Linked DNA regions of Nothobranchius furzeri. The protein of the gene in region 1 purifies or fractionates together with the protein of each later gene. This does not show direct contact. Links are inferred from orthologs where the notes say so. Each region holds a gene or a part of one and is shown in the gene's direction. Other genes may lie near its edges.

Evidence for each region.
Region 2: the proteins of stat3 (region 1) and ptpn11a purify together in Homo sapiens (affinity purification with western blotting; 3 studies listed by BioGRID). This does not show direct contact. The link is inferred for Nothobranchius furzeri from reciprocal best matches to the Homo sapiens genes STAT3 and PTPN11.
Region 3: the proteins of stat3 (region 1) and hdac3 purify together in Homo sapiens (affinity purification with western blotting; 4 studies listed by BioGRID). This does not show direct contact. The link is inferred for Nothobranchius furzeri from reciprocal best matches to the Homo sapiens genes STAT3 and HDAC3.
Region 4: the proteins of stat3 (region 1) and hif1aa purify together in Homo sapiens (affinity purification with western blotting; 4 studies listed by BioGRID). This does not show direct contact. The link is inferred for Nothobranchius furzeri from reciprocal best matches to the Homo sapiens genes STAT3 and HIF1A.
Region 5: the proteins of stat3 (region 1) and trim59 purify together in Homo sapiens (affinity purification with western blotting; 4 studies listed by BioGRID). This does not show direct contact. The link is inferred for Nothobranchius furzeri from reciprocal best matches to the Homo sapiens genes STAT3 and TRIM59.

What each region holds. Positions count from the first base shown.
Region 1 is NC_091745.1:6,845,718-6,849,769, reverse strand, and holds the start of stat3 (signal transducer and activator of transcription 3), read left to right. Parts: upstream 1-1,238; 5' UTR 1,239-1,379; intron 1,380-3,669; 5' UTR 3,670-3,785; intron 3,786-4,052. UniProt on the Homo sapiens protein: Signal transducer and transcription activator that mediates cellular responses to interleukins, KITLG/SCF, LEP and other growth factors. Once activated, recruits coactivators, such as NCOA1 or MED1, to the promoter region of the target gene.
Region 2 is NC_091746.1:40,337,716-40,341,229, reverse strand, and holds part of ptpn11a (tyrosine-protein phosphatase non-receptor type 11), read left to right. Parts: intron 1-1,755; coding exon 1,756-1,950; intron 1,951-3,514. UniProt on the Homo sapiens protein: Acts downstream of various receptor and cytoplasmic protein tyrosine kinases to participate in the signal transduction from the cell surface to the nucleus. Positively regulates MAPK signal transduction pathway. Dephosphorylates GAB1, ARHGAP35 and EGFR.
Region 3 is NC_091741.1:31,103,499-31,107,594, forward strand, and holds the start of hdac3 (histone deacetylase 3), read left to right. Parts: upstream 1-1,286; 5' UTR 1,287-2,070; intron 2,071-2,167; 5' UTR 2,168-2,218; intron 2,219-2,306; 5' UTR 2,307-2,351; intron 2,352-2,433; 5' UTR 2,434-2,498; intron 2,499-2,574; 5' UTR 2,575-2,672; intron 2,673-4,096. UniProt on the Homo sapiens protein: Histone deacetylase that catalyzes the deacetylation of lysine residues on the N-terminal part of the core histones (H2A, H2B, H3 and H4), and some other non-histone substrates.
Region 4 is NC_091758.1:31,049,927-31,053,440, reverse strand, and holds part of hif1aa (hypoxia inducible factor 1 subunit alpha a), read left to right. Parts: intron 1-1,738; coding exon 1,739-1,929; intron 1,930-2,216; coding exon 2,217-2,368; intron 2,369-2,492; coding exon 2,493-2,577; intron 2,578-3,107; coding exon 3,108-3,217; intron 3,218-3,341; coding exon 3,342-3,514.
Region 5 is NC_091753.1:52,625,743-52,629,930, reverse strand, and holds the start of trim59 (tripartite motif-containing protein 59), read left to right. Parts: upstream 1-1,376; 5' UTR 1,377-1,505; intron 1,506-1,564; exon of another isoform or gene 1,565-1,729; intron 1,730-2,100; 5' UTR 2,101-2,155; coding exon 2,156-2,410; intron 2,411-2,483; coding exon 2,484-2,705; intron 2,706-2,788; coding exon 2,789-2,998; intron 2,999-4,188. UniProt on the Homo sapiens protein: E3 ubiquitin ligase involved in different processes such as development and immune response. Serves as a negative regulator for innate immune signaling pathways by suppressing RLR-induced activation of IRF3/7 and NF-kappa-B via interaction with adapter ECSIT.

The sequences.
Region 1 (4,052 bases):
AACATAATGGGAGGATACATCTCTTACGGTAATCTATTCTGAATGTGAAGTCAACTGCCTGTGGCAGCGTTCAACCTTTGTCACATTAGATCATGAGAGGAAACCGTGCAAGGCTCCAGACAGAAACAAGAGGAGTGCTTCTGTTTCTTCCTCCCTGCAGACTTCTATGACCTTGATGTGTTTGCAGGCACCCAGAAGCATTGTGGCAGAGGAAACACCACCCAAATAATCAATGGATGGGGAAATGCAATTAAGGAAAGTGTTTACTCTCTCTCTCTCTCTCTCTCTCTCTCTCTCTCTCTCTCTCTCTCTCTCTCTCTGTGAAAGCTAAGCAGTGAGAAAGACAAAAGAAAGCATGCGTGTGATCGTGTTACAAGTCTATGCAAACTATTACAACACACCAAGGGGAATTGTTATCTTTACATAAAAATAAATTATATGCTTGTAAGATTATCATTTTTATTTTATAGCTTTATCTTTGTGTTGATTTTTGACAGATATATAAACGATCTCCCATTACCTAAATGTGTTTTTGCAGCGGTGTAATTCAGTTTTCTTTTCTTTTCACTGTTGCATCTGTAAGTGGCGTATGGCCTTGATGTCACTGACTGTACCTGCCAGACTCAAGGTGTTTTGGCCAAACAGGTTCAATATTAATAAACGCTTATTACATAATCCACCAGTTTAAGGTTTGTTGACTGTTTTATCTATCTATAAATCCATTTATCCACACGTGTGTCATTTATAAATATTATTTTAAATAAACTTAGTTTGATTACGTTTGGACACTTGTATTAATTATTTTTGTCCCGTTAGGATTAACACTAAACTGCAGATGTGTTATTAGACTCGGTGACGTCAGCATTGCCAGTAACTCAGATGACTTCCAGGCTGGCTCTTCTTTTCAAACGCCTTTCCTCCCTCCGTAACAGCCGAACATGCTGTTCTTTGAACGGAAAACCCCGAGGAGGGAGGACTAAGAGGAACAGCCCAGTTGCGACAGCAGTAAACATAGCACTCAACCAAACATGCTGTTACGCCGCGCATCTTTTCGTCACACATCTGCTCTGATTTGGTTAACAGAAATTTCTATATTGCTATTTGCCACTTGGAATGTCAATCAACAACAGAAGCGCGTTTGATTGGCTGAAAAGACTTGCAGAGCGGCTGATGGGTTGGGCTACTGGCTCTAGGGTTGAAGAAGTGTTTCTCGTGTTGTTAAGGGAAGAGTAAAGGTTGGCATCTTTTGTGAGTGTTTTCTCTCGTTTATGTGGGTTTACCGTTTTAGAAGAAATTAAGTGTTGCCTTCAGTGTACTTTTAGTTAACAGTTTTCGGGTTTTTGTCGGAGAATCTTTCCAAAGACGTGACAACGACTCGGGTAAGCGACTGCATTCAAACTAACTTACTCCATCTTTATTTGTGAATGTTTTTTTTATGTAAACCCGTTATCAGTTTATATTTACTAATGGCCATGATATAAAAGGCTTGGCCAGCTGAACGCTGCTAAACGCCTATTTGTGCTGGTCATAAGTTATTCTGTGTGCAGAAACATTGTGTTCCGCTATGGCATATAGCAAAGTTATTATTGCCTTACTGCTTTTAATTAATTATTTCCGATATAAAATATTACAGCTAAGACGTTCAGTCTTGAATAGTTGTTTTTTTTTCTTTTGTTGTTGTTGTTTACTTTCAATAATGTGTTTTGGCTCAATTTATCAGTAATTTCGATCTGTTGGTAAAACAAAACAAAAAAAAATTAAAAAAACAGTAAAAGAGAGAAAGAGCATCTTCCAGGATATGAATATGACCCCATAAAATTCCAGGCCAGTGTTTGTTATAAGCCGTCGTTGTTGTCACGCTCATCTTCACCCCATCATGTGCAGAGCTGCATAACAGGATCAGATCCATGATCACTTTCAAAATTAAAAGAAAAGAAAAGTGTAGTATTGACTAATGACACTTACTATTTTAGTTTGATGATGTTACAACTGAAAAAGAAAACCCATTATGATCATCATTATTATTGTGTCCAATAACCCGCAAGTGTCCTGCCTGTTAACTGTCAGTAAAATGACAAACTTGGCATGATTGCTTCTTTTTTTTTTTTTGTGGAGAGCTCTACTTCCTGGAATGTGGCTTGTCTGTTTTAAGGAATCTCATTGTGCATTACCGTAAGTGGTAAATGCTCACTGACAAAACACACCTAACAAGATTAGAATTTTTTTTTTATGAGTCATGTTGAATATTGAAGTCCTACTCTGCCCGTCTGGAGTGTGAAAATACTCATATGATGGGATACTGACAAAATTAGGCCAAATCATTGTCTGTGTGTAGCTTTGTGTAACATGAGCATCTTCAAAAGGTTCCTATCATGTATCATGTGAAATGTGTGTGACCTCAGCAAAAGGTCTTTGTAAAATATCCACCAAACAAAGGGCACAGTCCTGGGACTCACCAGTGCATCAGTTTACAGAAAATTTTGGCTGTTTTTACCTTCTTAGCTAAACAAAAGAAGTAAATAATCAAGCACTACTGTGTCTCCTCTGTGACTGTAGACACTGAATAATTGATTATACAGCCAGGACCCTCCCCAAACATAATTAAATCATCAAAAACATGAGAGAGATAACTCCAGTAGCATTTATTCTTTTTGGATAGCAGGTAAGAAGGTAGGGCGTTTGTTCAAAATTTTCTAAATAAAGCAGTACCATTGATTTGACCATGGGCAATCCTCTTGTGATGTCACGTTTGTTGGGGTTTCACTTCCTCAGCAATTCTCACCATGTGTTAGCATCATTTTCATATACCAGTGAAAGAGGAGCATGTGTGATGTGAACTTATATAAGGTGACACAAATGCTTAAAAAACACCTTTTTAGCTCAGTTCTTATTTTATTACAGCGTATTAACTACTGTATCAAAACATGTTTGAATTTCAGCGTATTAAAGGATAAAATGAAAGCTTATGAAACACTGTTTTTCCATTGACCTTTAAATTTGGCAGAAACAGGTGATGCTGATATCCATCCATCCATCCATTGTCTGAACCCGCTTTGTCCACATATGGTCTCGGGGGGGGGGGGGGGGGGGGGGGGGGGGGGGGGGGGGTGTCAATGAGCAATCAGGCGGGGTACACCCTGGACAGAGAGCCAGTCCATCGCAGGGTGATGCTGATATCGCTGACCTTATTCTTTTTAGCTTTTACAAAGGAGTCACGCCTAAATGTAGAATAGCCTCCCTTCATATTCCAAGTCACGTGGCCTAATGTACACAGATTTACGATGAAACTATTAATCGTGTGTGCTGTCAGATAAGACCTACATAATGCTGATGTTTTGGGTGTTTTGAATGGAATAAATTATTAAATGTTTCTGTTTCTTTTAAATATGCTGAATCATGAAAGATTTTGACAGAATATTAAGTCCCAAGTTTTATCGTTTACAATTTTATCAACACTTACGGCTGTTTTATTTAGTGGATCGCATCATGAAACCAAACAGAAGGGCTGTTACACTAGCTCTGCTTTAGCTTGTGTATACAAATACTGCCAAGCTCATTGTACAAGTTAAGATTGTGTGCTTCACCAGAGTTTAGGTGATACCGTAACATTATCCTTGTAATGTAAGCATTAAACAAAAGCTTTGCTTTGGTATTTAATTTCCATGACAGGGAAGACGGCTCTGCTGGATTCACTGAATACCTTTTTTGTCGGTGTGCAGAAGACAGTAATCCTCCAGGGACCCATGCAACCTCATTTTGGTCAGATAAAAGCCTTGTGTAACAAGGTAAATGAAAGATCTGATCTGAAGTTGCATTATAATTCTAAGAAATGCAATGTGAAGTTAATCATTAAAGACAGGAATGGTTCTGTAGTTTCTGATCCATGTGCTCTGTCGCTGACAGCTGAGGAAAGGAAGTGTGTTTTTTTCTTCATTGTTTCTAGTAAGCCTTTATACAAAAAACATTGGTTGAGATTATTAACTTCTCTCTACTTCGAGAGCTGACAGCTGTTCAGGACGTCCTGTATTTCTTGGCGGAAGTCTAGCGTTTCA
Region 2 (3,514 bases), on another chromosome or scaffold:
AAATGCCCAGATATCAGCCATGAAAATCATCAGCACATCGGCCATCGGCTGACCACGACCTTTACATATAGGCATCGCTATTGGCAATAGATGAGCTAATATTAGTCGACCTCTAGTTCTGATCTGCATCTGTTCCACACTTGGTGTAAATGAGGCTTTAGTCTTTTGTCCAGATGCAACAGACAGATGTTCAGGCTGATGACCTCTGATGTGCATGTGATGCAGAGCAACTCAGAGAACAAACATCAGACTTAGCCTTACACCAGCACAAATATGACTTGAAAGAAATGATGGCTTGCTCAGTATGTTCTGGATGTGCAAATAAGTGACTCTTTAATAATGTTTATATCAGGTCAAACTTTGACCGTGCCTGTTGCTGTGGGAGTGTTTTACACCAAAATGGAAATAACTTGCATCCAATTCTGCTTGATTCGTAGTTTTGAATGTAGCGAGACCGCCAACATTATCCAAGCGATAGCCAAAATGTAACTAATGAAAATAAAGTAGCTGGTTTTATCTCTGGGCCTGTCGAGTCATACGTTTGTGAGAGGAAGTGTCATTAAGTCAATTTGGCTGATGTAGACAAAGTTATTTTTGCTGCAGTTTCATATTCTAACAGTACGGTCTCCCGTCGTACTCAGTATGCACTTCACACAGAGACAAAAGCAGACATTTCCATGGGGAAACCAGTTGTTGCTGGTTCTAACCAGCACATCTCCTTCACTGCAGAATTCCCCGTGAGGCCGTTAAAATCTGCTCAGGTCCAGCTCTGCCACAAGTTCTTCTTTTCTATTTCTGAGATAATGGTGATCATGTGTGACTCAGTAGTTGGTTGTCTGTCTGGTTTGAATAGCTAAATGAAACACAGTTTTGTCTTTCAGATCTATTCTTCATCAGTGACATACAACAGTGGAGTTATTCTGTAGAGACAACATCTGATTCTGTTACACTCTGCACAGAAAGGACTCGGGATACAGAGCTGAATATTCCTGCTATTGTATAATAAATGCTCATATCTGGTTTTCTGCTTTATAAGGGGGTATTGAAATTGCAGCATTATGTTTTAGTGACAGTTATTTAACCCTCACATATTTCTACCCTGCTATACTTTATCTCCTGGTGTTGATTACAAGACTTTTTCATGTCTGGTAACATTTACTAGTTTCCTCTTGATGAGAATGAACCCTCTGTAGCTTTAAACGGCTCACGAACCTCTACATCTTAACCCAATGCCATATTAATGATTGTGTAAATGACCCTTCCCGGCTTTAGCCTGTTGTTTCTGCTAACTCAGAAATCAGCTCAGACATTTCCGTATTTCTGCAGGAACACAGGATTACACTCTCTAAGAATTAGCTGCTATTGCTAAATAGATCTTGTCTAGTTTCAGCATGTAAGAAGGAATTGGTTCATTATGGTTGTAAAGTTGTAAACACTGGCTTTTTTGGGATTTTGAAACGTTCACGCATTCATCTTCAATTCTGCCATAATGTTGACCACTGATTTAGCTCAAGCTCAGTAGTTTGGCTTATAAAAACACACCATGTGGACTTTTAATCTGCTAGAAACGTGATTTCTTTCATCGTTGTTTTTGAAGATGCAGCTGGACTAGACTGTTGGAATATTTTAGGGATTACTTTTCTACAGCGATCTGCGCTGACAGGATTTTTTATGAGCCGCAGACTTCTTGTTGGATTCTGCTGATGAGCTCTTACACCTGTCTGATTCTGTTCCCTTATTTGGTCTTGTGTTTAGGCGAAATGGAGCTGTCACCCACATTAAGATTCAAAATACAGGGGACTACTACGACCTCTACGGTGGGGAGAAGTTTGCCACTCTTGCAGAGCTGGTGCAGTATTACATGGAGCATCATGGGCAGCTGAAAGAGAAAAATGGAGACGTCATCGAGCTCAAGTATCCACTCAACTGTGCAGACCCCACGTCGGAGAGGTATGAGCTCATGTCCATGATTCTACTTGAATGTGCATTTTTATGCAATGCTTGGTGATTTTTAGAAAGTAAAGTGACAAAAGTAAAAACATCGAGCTGAAACACTCGCCCGTGTGGTGCAAGAGGCTTCTGATAAAATCTGAATCACGATTTTTGTTAAAATTCTATCAAACAATTCTTTCCTTCATTTGTTTTCAAGTTAAAAAAGCGGTTTCTTGGGCATGAATCCAAAAATTCAATGAGAGATGCAAAGAACAAAAATGTATTTTAAATCTTACATTTCATTACTTTAGTATAATGATGCAGTAATATATAAAAAGAGGAATCGTGCATGTGCTGTTTGGACTTGGCTACAGCAGTCTGTTGTGATGGTTGTGATTTCACGGAGGACCAGCAGCAGATGTTGACACGCCACAGATGTTGTTTCTGGGTTCCAGACTGAATAATTATCTATGTTCTGTTGTGTGTGTGCGAAATCTGCCCAAATCTGTCAACAAAACACTCTAAAGCAGTGAACCTCAACTGGTGGCCAGCGGGCCACATCTGGTCCATCACACCTCTCCCCCTAGCCCTTTGGGCCCTAATGCCCCCCAATTGGGGGACTTTTTTAATCATTTTTTTTATCTTTCTTTTCATTTCATTTTCATTTTTTTGTTTTTGTGAAGTGCTTCATGATTTTTATCTTGAGGTGCTTTATAAACAATTGTTTTGTTTCTTTCTTTTGAAGTTTAGCAGCAAAATTCATGTCCCAAATATCAATAATGGTTTACGTTCTCCAAACACAAAAATACAATCAAAGCAGTTTAGATGGAAAACAAATTTTAAATATTAACAAATTAGGATACAATAATACTTGAACTGTATTTAGGAAGAGCATCTGGCACTTGAACACATGTAGTTGAGGACCCTTGCTTTAAAGTGTCAGATGGAGTTTCTGTCTGGTCCATCTTTACTGTGTTTCATTGCAGTGATCATGCTAACACACACACTGAAACCAATGACTGGGGCAATGTTTCTGGTTCTTTTGGCTTTAGACAGAGAGCTGCGATGTTTACATGCAGCCTCAGAGGAGGAAAAGAGAGAGAATTCCTTACTGATTTGGAACCAGTCATGGTGTTTTTGTTAGCATATCTGATTTGTACCTTCTGGGATTGTAAAGTGAAGAAAATAACTGAAAGCCAGAAAATACACATAGGAAGGCAAAGCGGACCAAAAATACCTTATATAGTCCCGTTCACTTATATTCATTCCTTTTAGTTCAGAGGACCCCTGAGCCGACAGGAGGGGAAGGCATTTAGGCTTCCTGGAGTCGGCGTTTATTAAAACTGAGACCACATGTATGTGAGAATGAAGTTTGTGATTTCTGATTTTATTTAGTTTTTTTCAGCCGTGCTGTAATTATCTCCTGGTTTGTTGTGGGTTTTTGAGGGACAGAGGGATGCTTCAAATACAAACAATCCTCCGGTCCAACATTGTAATTTGGGGCTGTAATACTTTTTTCTTTATGTTCCTTTGAAGAAAATTATAATATTGTTGTCCTTCAGGGTTCAGCAAACATTTAAAT
Region 3 (4,096 bases), on another chromosome or scaffold:
CTGTGGCCTTACTCTTCGTACCAAAAACTACAAGGCTCACATGATGAGGAAGCACTCCAACCAGTCAATAGATGTTTGCCTGGCCAGTCATCTGCAGTGTGTTTGTGTAGATGAAACTACAGGGTTATTTGCTGTGCAGAGAACTGGCCATGGATTTTCTGTGCCAGTTCACGTTCAGAGGAAAACATGGGGATGTCTCACAATATCAGATGTGAGCTGGAGGAATGTCAGCAATACCAGTTGCTGGCCCAGCGGAGCGGACTAGGCTTCAGTTTATATTAGCACCTTCGCTCACTAGATTACTGCCGAGAAACTGTGAAGGAGGTTTTTCATCAAGAGCACATCGTGATGGAAATGGTGGACCTTAAATGTTTTGGAGAGGCCAAAGCTGCTACATGCATAAAGAGTCAGAAAGCTGCCCAGATGGCACATGCTCCACTTTGTGTGAGGGTGGATTTTGGTGGATCCTCAACACAGATCTGTTTGTCTGTATTTGAGCCGGAAATACACAGTTTCTGCCATCTTGGCAGAATATTTGTGACTTACAATGCTCTGAGGAACACCTGGCATTGCGCTTGTGCAAAGCCACGAATATCGTGTCCTCATAAAAACATAGCTAAATGGCATCTCTTCCAGACACAGAGAGACATCTTCAAATCAACTGTACCACTATCATCAGGCACCCCATCACAGATGACTCAGGGGAGTTCTTCCTTTGAGGACAATGCTGCCGTTGAAAGGAGTATACGCTATATTTTTAAAGAGAAAAAAATTCCTGTATCTCTTCCAGAAAATGGATCATCAGAAACAGCTCTTTCCATGTGAAACGTTGTGCCAGGTGTGCCCAGAGCACCCAAACTTGATGAGGCTGTTCTAATCACCATTAAAGTGAGGATTGTCAGCATGATGGGAGTGATTGAGAGTAAGTTTTAATGAATATGATTAAACATCAGTGTGAAATAATTGGTTATTATTGTTCCTATACTAATGTTTTGACATTGATGTGATTTGTCTTTAACAGATGTTTCAACACACCATAGATTGTGTCCTCAGTGTCACATGGTCTGCAGATACCAGGAGTGGACAGATGGGCTTCACAACTTGGACAACCACGTTGTTTTGTCTCTTGAACTCTGCCTTTTTTTAAGAGAAAATCTGCAGGTGAGGATCACAAAAATAAAATATACTCATCTGAAGATTGCTTTAAAACGAGGATGGACATCATAGTTCTCCCTCTCTGGACACCTGCTCATTTCCAGTTGTGTGTAAGTCTTGTTTTTTGACACATACAAACTGTTAGAATGTTGCTATGCGTCTGAGATGTATTCAAGCTTTTATGACGCAGTTTCAAAAGTCTTTGATTGTGATCGCTTGCAATGACATCGTTTTCAGGTTTGAAGTCATGGCTAACTGTCTTTTAGGTACTGAAGCCACCTAAAAGAGAAATCCTCTTTCTTGACCCATTATACACAAAGGCAGGATTTGGTGGCCAACAATATGTTTCACTTTTGAGGTCACATTTTTATAAGCATTTTTGGTTTGTTCCAGAATTTTCAGGAACCTGTTCAGTGTCCCAGGTTAAGTGCATGATCATGTTCTGCTGATCTTGATTCTTCACACATACAGTACACTCACATGCTTTTTTATAAACTATATCAGCACGATGCTTCAACATTTTATTCTATTTCTCATCTTCACTTTCTGATCAAGTCAGTGATGCTGTCTTTAGATGAGTTTCAGACATAAATAGGGTCTTCAAACGTTTTAGTTTAACATAAAACACCATTAAATATTAGTTTATAAAATATGCCAGCCTCAAATTAAAGCTGAAAATGCTTTATTTTGACCAACTGTGAGCATGTGACTGTACTTTTTCATTTTGTTATGCTGTTTTGTTGAGGTCGTGTTCCTAAGGCCTGTAGTTACAGTTGGTGCTATTAGCAATAAACATTTAACACCCATCATGATGATGTCTGTTAACTTGTGAATGTGACTGTCTTGAAAAAAAGGAATCTTGCAGTGAAGCTCATTCCCGGGCAGTGGTCAGAAAAAAAGAGCTTTGACTTGAAGGTATGTGCTAGTTTAAGTGTATGGTGAATAATATGAATTACACTAGTCTTCTTTTAAGGGATTTTATTAATGAGCCTTTATTTTCAATGTTATACAGGGTTTTCCAAGACAAGACTATGGAGTTGACTGTGGGATCTTCATGCTGATGGTAATTTTTCTCTTCTCTTCTTGAGATTCATACAGAAGCTAATTTAAGCTTCTAAAAAAATTACATTTTTATTTTTTCTTCCAAATAGTCTGCTCTGTACGTGGCACTGGATGCACCATTTGACTATACTATAGTAAGTATTCTATTTACTTTCACAGCAATGGAGTCTTGAATCTTTTGAAAGTTGTTAAATATGTTTCATATTAATATTTTAGTCAGACATGCCCTACTTGCGTAAATGGTGGTGCTTGCTGTTGATGGAGAACTTTGATCTCAGGAGGTATTTATATTTTGACTTCTGTTCTATGTTGTGTCAAAGTTTACACACCTTAACAATATCAACATTTTCTGTTAAGCTCTGGCAAGCTGGAGAGAGGAAGCCAAAGCTGTGCTTGAAGGACAACACGTGCCCATTTTCAGACTGAAAAAGCGCAAGTTCCAGGAAGTCAGTCAGGTCAGTATTCACTTTAAACAGTAGTGTAATTACATGGTTAGTGACATTTGAATAACTGTTAAAAAACTGCAGCGTCTGCAGTGATGCGGACGCTGAGCCGATCTGTCGTGGGGAAGAGGGAGCTGAGCCAGAAAGCCAGGCTCTCGATTTACCGGTCGATCTACGTCCCAATCCTCACCTATGGTCATGAGCTTTGGGTAATGACCGAAAGAACGAGATCGCAGATACAAGCGGCCGAAATGAGTTTCCTCCGTAGGGTGGCCGGGCTCAGCCTTAGAGATAGGGTGAGGAGCTCGGACATTCAGGAGGGACTCGGAGTAGAACCGCTGCTCCTCCGGATCGAAAGGAGCCAGTTGAGGTGGTTTGGGCATCTGGTCAGGATGCCTCCTGGACGCCTCCCTGGGGAGGTGTTTCGGGCATGTCCTGCCGGCAGAAGGCCCCCGGGTCGACCCAGGACACGTTGGAGAGGTTACATCTCCAATCTGGTCCGGGAACGCCTTGGGGTCCTGCCGGAGGAGCTGGTGGACAAGGCCGGGGAGAGGACGGTCTGGAGCTCCCTAGTTGGGATGCTGCCCCCGCGACCCGGACCCGGATAAGCGGAGGAAGACGAAGACGAAGACGAAGTTAAAAAAACTGTTCTGCAACAGAGAAATAGCTGTGTTTTTATCCCCATTTACCTGACACAGGAGCCAGCAGTTGTTGAATATCTGCGTCCTGCTGTGCAGTGGGTTGTCCAAAACAATGCCAAAATATCTGTCCTTAAATCAAGGGGACCAGCAGAGGGTCTTAAGAGACATGTCAGAGGAAGACGACACTGGAGCAAGGGACATGTTCCTGTTTGTTTTTCAGTTTGCAGAGGACATGGAGCTCTTTTTGAAAGCACTTGCTGATGAGCAGGGACTAAGGGTCAGTGCTACTATGTTTGACATGTAATGGACAAATGAAGGCACTGACTGTGTTTGTTTGTTTGTTTGTTTAATATGTCATTGTTGTTGTTTTTGTTTTGTTTTTGTATAGTACAAAATTCCAATTAAACTTATTTCAAAATGTTGTTCACTTGATTCTATGTTCATACTTTTAAGAAAGGATTACAGAGTAACAGCATTAAATGTAAATGTAACAGCATTTTTTTTATACTTGTAATTTCAAAATAAAAAGCTTATTGTTGATATTAACAGTAAAGAATTGAAATCAATAATATTTGTATACATTTTAAACATTAGCACTCTGGGCTCTATCCTGGCCATTTGTGGCCACTTCACTTATTCTTTTTTTTTTTTCTTTTTTTTTTTGACTGCTGCACTGCAGTGGACCAAAAGAATGACACGGGTTTGATCTTAAGGATCTAATAGTTGTGTGTGTTGTGCATGACATTGCCACACAAATATGTATTTGCAAGATAGAGAAGAATAAATTATGACACA
Region 4 (3,514 bases), on another chromosome or scaffold:
CGTTGGCATAACTTTGTAGCTTCCCAATTGTAAATGGAACTTAATAGCAGCAACACTGAGTGTTTTTCTGTTTGTGTGTTCATGTCACCGAATAGAAATTTTGACCCACATGCTTTTCGCTAGATTAAATCAGCACCTAGCCTATTTCCCGAGGGACGGTGATTCGGCTCAGCATTGAAAATCTTCCAGCCGCAGAGGACCAATTAGCTTTATCGTGGATCGGTTTGTGCATCACGTGTGTGTAATGGAAAGCTTTCGTGTGAAACACAGCCTGCCTGTTAACTAAAATTAGCCTCCTGCAAATTACATTATCTGGTCTATTTTCTGGCAAAAACAAAAGGGCCTTATTCAGTGCTGTAAGTGCGTGCCAGATCAATTTCAATCAGGTGTGCATTTCATAGCTGTGGGTTTTTAAGCTGTTCATTTGGTCGTCTGGCTGCTCACATGTCATCTAAATGTATTTCAACTTACTGAGGTGCAGTTTGCAACAAAGATTGGTGATATAAATTTATGGCATATGAATGGGAGATGAAATCTGTTTTTTGAGGCATCGCGGTTTTTCTAAATCGATTTTGTTTATGTTTATTTACCGCAATGTTGAGCAACATAAGGTGGAACAGGAAGTACAGCACAGACTTTAAAAAAATTTTTTTATAAGCACATAATGGAGGCACAATTTGCAGTGGCGTGTCCAGGCCTTTTAAAATGGGTGGCTCCAGTGGGGCACTAATTTATGCATGGGTGGCACCTATAGTTATACTTTTTGTTTTGATCTGCGGGGTTGTCACCCCTCACAAAATAATACATTTTTGCATTATTCTTCAACTTCTTGTTTTGAGGTGGTTAGCAAGCCACTTCTTGGTGCATTACCGCCATCTACTGGAGTGAGTTTGGACCAGGACTATGAATACTATTTTTGTCAATATGAAAACAATAATTAATAATACACAAATGTTCTGTAGGCCTGTGACTAGAAACTAATGTTAAAAGTCCATACTGTCGACTACTGTTTTAGGGGTTAACCCTTATTTTTTTGTGGACAACTTAATGTCAATTTAAGTGGAACTCATTGGGGTGGCCAGTCAGATTCCAAGAGTGGCAAATGCTGCTCCAGACCACTCACTGGACACGCCATTGACAATGAGCAATAAAAAGAGTGAACAAGTGAACATTTTAAACATGGCCGCCGAGCGAGACCAGTGTTGTGTCAAAAGGCCTTCCTTCTCCAAATATCGTCTGTTTTTCTTTTGTTTTTGATTCTGAATCAAGACAACAGCAAACATCATTCAAAATAATATTAAACCCACAACCATTTTTTGAATGAAAGCGGCCATTTGATGCACCCCTTCTTGTTCTTACCTTGAATCTAACAATTTTGTCTCATTAAGTTTTTATAGTGTAGTGATTTCAGTCACTTGAAGAATCAATAGCCCTGCTTTGATTCAGCGGTGGTCACATTAGCCGAAATGGCACTGTAAAATGTCTGAATCAGTGTGTGGGATGGGGGTGGGGGGATGGCTGAGCTCTGACTCTTTCCTGTGTAGTCATTTGAGTGGGCGAGTCCTATTTCGTTTGTTCAGCAGCCAATAGGACGCTTGCATTGCACTGGCTGGGCTGAGACAGCCTGTTGAATGCTCCAGCTGCGCTGGCCTCTGCAGACATGTTTCAGTTTTGGGAAAAGGGATTTTTACGTTTAACAAACCCAGCATGAGGCTGATCCACCTCCTGTCTCCTGCAGGGTGAGCTCGGAGCGCAGGAAGGAGAAATCAAGGGATGCAGCAAGATGCCGCCGTGGGAAGGAGTCGGAGGTGTTCTATGAGCTGGCCAAGCAGCTGCCTCTCCCCCACAGCACCAGCTCAAGCCTGGACAAGGCCTCCATCATGAGGCTGACCATCAGCTACCTGCGCATGAGGAACCTTCTCTGCAGTGGTCAGCATCTGTAGCGACAGATGATTATAAACCATTCCACTGCTCTGTTAACCATGTACCTGCAGTATGCTTGTCATATTTGTTATCTTGTTGACTTCAGAGTAATTCACTTCATTTACATGTAGCCTATAGTGGAAAACACAAAGGAGGTACTGCGTATTCTGCCATAATCTCTCTGCAGAAACACCTGGGGCTAGAGGAGTGGTTTTTCTGTGTCTGCAGCTGTTTGAACCGGTTATTTGTCCTTTAGCTTATCACCCACCTTGCTCCCTCTCTCAATGCTCCAGATAAGCCAATGGAAGAGGGGGAAACTGAGCTTGATGTTCAGCTGAACGGGTCCTACCTGAAGGCGTTGGAGGGCTTCCTCATGGTGCTGTCTGAAGACGGCGATATGATTTATCTCTCGGAGAATGTCAGCAAGTGTCTTGGGCTGGCGCAGGTGGGTCTGAAGCAGGGAATTAAAAAATAAGTGCACATTTTTAAGCTTTAAATGAATACTTCTTGGTAGCTCTATTTATATATTTGTGTTTTAAAAGTATATTTCTGTTTGTTTGCCTTTGCAGTTTGACCTGACTGGCCACAGTGTGTTTGACTTCACACATCCCTGCGACCAGGAGGAGCTGAGAGAGATGCTCCTCTGTAGAACAGGTGAGCAGTGTTGCACTGAAGAGTACAAATGTGTAGAGAAACCGAGACGCGCACACACAGAGCTCTCTGTCGGGTGTGTTGGTGCTCCAGATGGTAGAAAGTCCAACTCACTCTGTGGTCAGCTCTGCTTAGTAACGACACAAAAATCCACTCCGGTTTTGAGCAGTGGCTGAGTAATCTTCCGACCTTTTAATCATCAATAACAGATCTTTGCTTTGCTTCTCGTTAGTGAGATAAGTTTTGCTGAATCTTCTCTCTGCTTCGGTTCACTCTTACATTTAGGACCTGTGTTTTTTGTTATTTCTTTGCTCACTGATACCGCCTCGGCTCTAACTGCTGGTAGCTATTTCCATTTTATCCTCTAGCTCACCACAAGGCCACAGCATCAGAGCAAATGTCTCCTTTTGATGCAAATTTTATCAGTTGGCAGTTTGTAGATTGTTGAGTTGGGACCAATAAAAAAGAGCAATCTACTGCTGGCTTACTCTGCCTCACTCTGGATTCATATCTGTTTAATTTTGTGATTCCAGGCTCCAAAAAAAGCAAGGAACCAAATAATGAACGGAATTTCTTTCTGAGGATGAAATGCACCCTCACAAGCAGAGGTCGCACGGTTAATGTCAAGTCGGCTACATGGAAGGTAAAGAAGTGTTGAAGCTGTGGAGCATCTCGGGCTCCTAAATTAAAAAAGTTACTTAAAGTAAAAAATAATAATTACAGAAAGATTAAAGTTTCCCTCTTGGTTTGAAAACGTGTTTCTGTAGGTCCTTCACTGCTCGGGTCACATGTGTGTTCATGACCATCGAGCAGAGCAGATGGAGCCACTGCTCCCCTACCTGGTTCTGATCTGTGACCCCATCCCCCACCCTTCCAACATCGAGGTCCCTCTGGACACCAAGACGTTCCTCAGCCGCCACACCATGGACATGAAGTTCAC
Region 5 (4,188 bases), on another chromosome or scaffold:
GGGCTTGATGCTGTGAAAGTTTGACCCCCCCCCCCCCCCCCCTCCATCACCAGTCAACCAAATGACCCGTTCCTCTCACAAAACCACGTTCCTCAGCCTTTACAGCAACACCACTGCTTTTGCAGTACGGCTGCAGCAGCTTTCATAACCACAGGAGAGGAAAACCACGGCCATCCTGCGTAGAATTGTGAATCCTCCCCTTTGCATGTACTAAACAACAGCACAGTTATTTTTTAGGGTATTTTAGTTCCCTTAGGCTGTGAATACAGTGTAATTTTTTTATTTTAAGTAAAGCTGTGCTTAAATGTTACATGTTTCCCTTTCCCTGACTCCTCACTGTTGTCCGGTTTGCTAAATAATTATTGTTTTGCACATGTATTGCAAAGTGAGGCCTGAAGTCTTTCTGAAGGTGTTGCTGCTGGTGGGTTTAATATGTTTTGACCTGCCCAGACACCCTTACATTTAAGCATCACTCAGCCACAGTCTGTGTTTTCTGGAATGATCCAATGATAACATTTAGTGATACTCGAGACAATAATGAGTTTATTTCAGGAGCAGCGGTAGTGAATCTAATGTATCTCAGCTTCACTGGAAGGGGATTTAACCTCCCTGTTCACGGTCAAAGGTGTCCCATGCGTCAGACTGGAGATGTTCTAATGGGGGTTTCCTGAATCGTAAATAAACCCATGAACAGGTTTGCTGTAATTGTAGTACCTTGCAGAGTCTTTAGCCCTTTTTTGCTCCTACAAGCTAAGTGTACAAGCTTACCCTCATGTTTATTTTTCTGTTCACTTCAAACACTAGTGATGATTACACATTGTGCTCAAAACCTTTTGTTGAACATAGGGGTACTTTTTTGTTTTATTTTATTTTTTTGCAGCATTCCTTGTTAGCAAAGTGGTTTCAAATCAAAAATTATGACCTGGAAGGAATAGAAAAAGCCTATAAAACCTTTCAGGGGATGTTGGCTACCGGCTAAGTTGTCTTTAAGAAAAATAAATAGTGAAACACAAACCCAAAAGTGTGTGTGTGTGTGGGAGAGAGAGTGAGTGAGAGAGACAGTTCTGTTGTGAAATGAAGTATAATTAATCCTCTAGTGCATTTTCCTCCTGACGCCTCCCTTTCTCCTAATTGTTGGGCCTGAATTTAAACTGGAAAACGACGCGACCTGATTGGCCTGAGCAACAGATCGAGCGCATGCGCACAAGCAGAACGAGAAACTGTGCGTTAGGAACTACCGGAAAACTAAAACTTCCACATTTTACAATGGAAGACTTTTTTTTCCAAAAGTAAAATCTTACGGTGGCAAGAGAAGTTGCATCTTAAACTATTCTGGTCCCAAAAACTAATAAAGTACTAGACAGCTTTACCAGAAATGAGGTGAGACGTTTTATTTCCTGTTTAAGCTCGTGTTGCTGGACTTTACTGGATGCACCTGAAGGCAGCACCATCAGGGGAAATGAAAGCTGTTTGGGACAAACGCTACACGGCCGAGCAGAACCGCGGTGAGTCTAAAAACTTCGGGAAGACGGATTTTAAGGTGATTTGCGTCGTGTCACCTCACGAGAAAAAGACTGTGTATCGCAATAGTTGATCAAATTTACGAATGTTGCTTTTAAAGTAGTCTTTAAGCCTCCCCGCCGCGTGAGAGTGCCAGTTTTGGGCTAAAAGAAAGAAAAAAGGAAGCACAAACTATCTGGACACTTTAAACTCATCCCACAGGCCACAGGTAATGGTTTGATCCGAGACACCACTGTTGGCTCTGGGCTCTGGTGTGTGTGTGTGTGTGTGTGTGTGTGTGTGTGTGTGTGTGTGTGTGTGTGTGTGTGTGTGTGTGTGTGTGTGTGTGTGTGTGTGTGTGTGTGTGTGTGTGTGTGTGTGTGTGTGTGTGTAACGAGGAGAGGGGGTGGTCATTGTAATAAGTAATAAGATCCTGATCCAGTGTGAGCAGCACTAACAATAATGAGACATGAGAAACATCACGTAGTGTTTCCTTCAGGTATTTGTTTTATTCTTTGAGCATTAATCAGTCAGATCTTTAGGTAAATTCCAAATAAAGCTTGTTATCTGTTGTGAATTATTATAATTTTTGTCCAACAGGAACCATCCTGCAGAAGTGACAGACTTTGTTCCACCAGAGTCCTCTAGATCCGTCATGGAGACCCTTGAGGAGGACCTGACGTGCTCTGTGTGCTACTCTCTGTTCTGCGACCCGCGGGTCCTGCCGTGTTCTCACACCTTCTGCAAGACCTGCCTGGACAGCCTGCTGCAGGTGTCCACCAACTATTCCACCTGGCGTCCCCTCCGCCTGCCTATAAAGTGTCCCAACTGTTGCAGCGTGGTGGAGCTGCCCCCGATGGGTGTAGATGCTCTGCCCACCAATGTGTCCCTGCGGGCCATCATTGAGAAAGTAGGAGAGGCTGGCCCGTCTGTTCCCGTTTGTCTGAAATCCTTCTGACGGGCTTGTTTCTTTTTACTTTCAGTACCAGACGAACAATGCGCCTCGACCCCCGTCCTGCCAGGAGCACCACAGACAACCTCTGAACATGTACTGCATCCAGGATCGGCAGCTGATCTGTGGTCTGTGTCTGACCGTCGGGCAGCATCAGGGACATCCCATAGATGACCTTCAGGCCGCCTTCATCAAAGAAAAACAGACTCCATCGCTGCTGCTCGCCAGACTTTCGGAGCAGAGATGGGCGCAGGTGGGCGTCGGGGTTTGGGAGCAGGAATTCTGTGCCGTTTTTGTTTTGATTAATACGTCTAACGTCTTGTGGCTGTTGGTTAGGTGTGTGACCTGGCAGAGCAGCTGGAGCAGGACAAAGCCCGCTGTGAGGCTCTAGTGAGGCAGGACAAACAGGAAGTGGATCAGTTTTTTCTTGTGCTGGAGGGAATACTGGCCAGGAAGAAACACGCCTACCTGGAGGCTTTGGATAAAGCTGCTGCAGAGGTGTCGCTTGCATATGACCCCCTGATCCACAGAGTCAAGGAGCTTCAGGTGTGTGGACACTTCCACAATCCCAGTTCTTAGGGCTGCTTTGAAGTTTTGACTCATTTGTCTTCAACCCTCTGGGGTCCGTGGACGCTTATCCGCGTCTTTTGAACAGGTCTGATTTGGGACGCTGTAGCAGCAAGACTCCGCCTCCCTGAGTTTCCGTTTCAATTCAGCTTTAAAAAGGAGATTATAAACTACACCCCAGTTTTTAAATTGTGTTAATAAGCAACGTAAAAGCGGAGTTAAACTAAACTAAAAAATGACCTTTTTTTAGACAATCTGATAACTTGTCAAACAGCAGTTTAGTAATCCGTGAGAGGGAATGTGCTTGTGAACATAAAAAACCCACAAAAACATGAGATCCTTTTGCTGTTGCTGGAAGTCTCACATATTCAACTGATAAAAAGTATCATCATGTAGCTGAGAGAGAGAGGAAGGCCGCACGAGTAACGAGATGTGCGCAAAAAGGAGCCGCTTGGCGGGGAACGGAGTGGCGCGAACGGAGTAACAACAAACAGTTAGACAGATATTGATGGTAAACTTCATATTTTGGAGCGATCCGGACAGATATGTTGTCTCTGCAGTTTAGTAGGCTTTTATTAGGCTTATATAAAGGATGGTGAGAAGGATAAATGTCCACCAGGCAGTTCGGCTGTTTTTTGAACTGGAAGCAGAGGAAGTGGACGGAGACTCGCAGCCGGAGTCTGAAGCAAATAGCGAGGATGTTGATGACGATGTGGCAGATCCATCCTTCCTCATAGAAGAGTTGGGTCATGATGAGGTAGAGGATGAAGGCAGAGATCCAGCTCCTCGGAGATCCAACAAGAGGAGTGGGCGGCGCCGCGCAGCTGTCAGATCTCGATCTCCGCGGCGTGAGACAGAGCCACTCCCCACTCCAAAATGCATGCACATTATTGCCAAATTAATAAAATAAGTATAAATTCAGATAGTCCAGGTTGTTCTGAAAAAAATGATACCCCATAAGGCAAAATTTATTGTTTTTGTTAGAAAATACAAAAGACAAACCAAAATGAGTCAAAAACGGTGATTTACACCCAGGACCCCAGAGGGCTGATATTATTTTTTTTATTTGTTATTTGCCATATTTATTCATATTTTTTATAAATGTACAGTCTAGATTAACATTCTAAATTATAAAAAACATTCGTCATAAATGTTTGTTGGTTTCACAG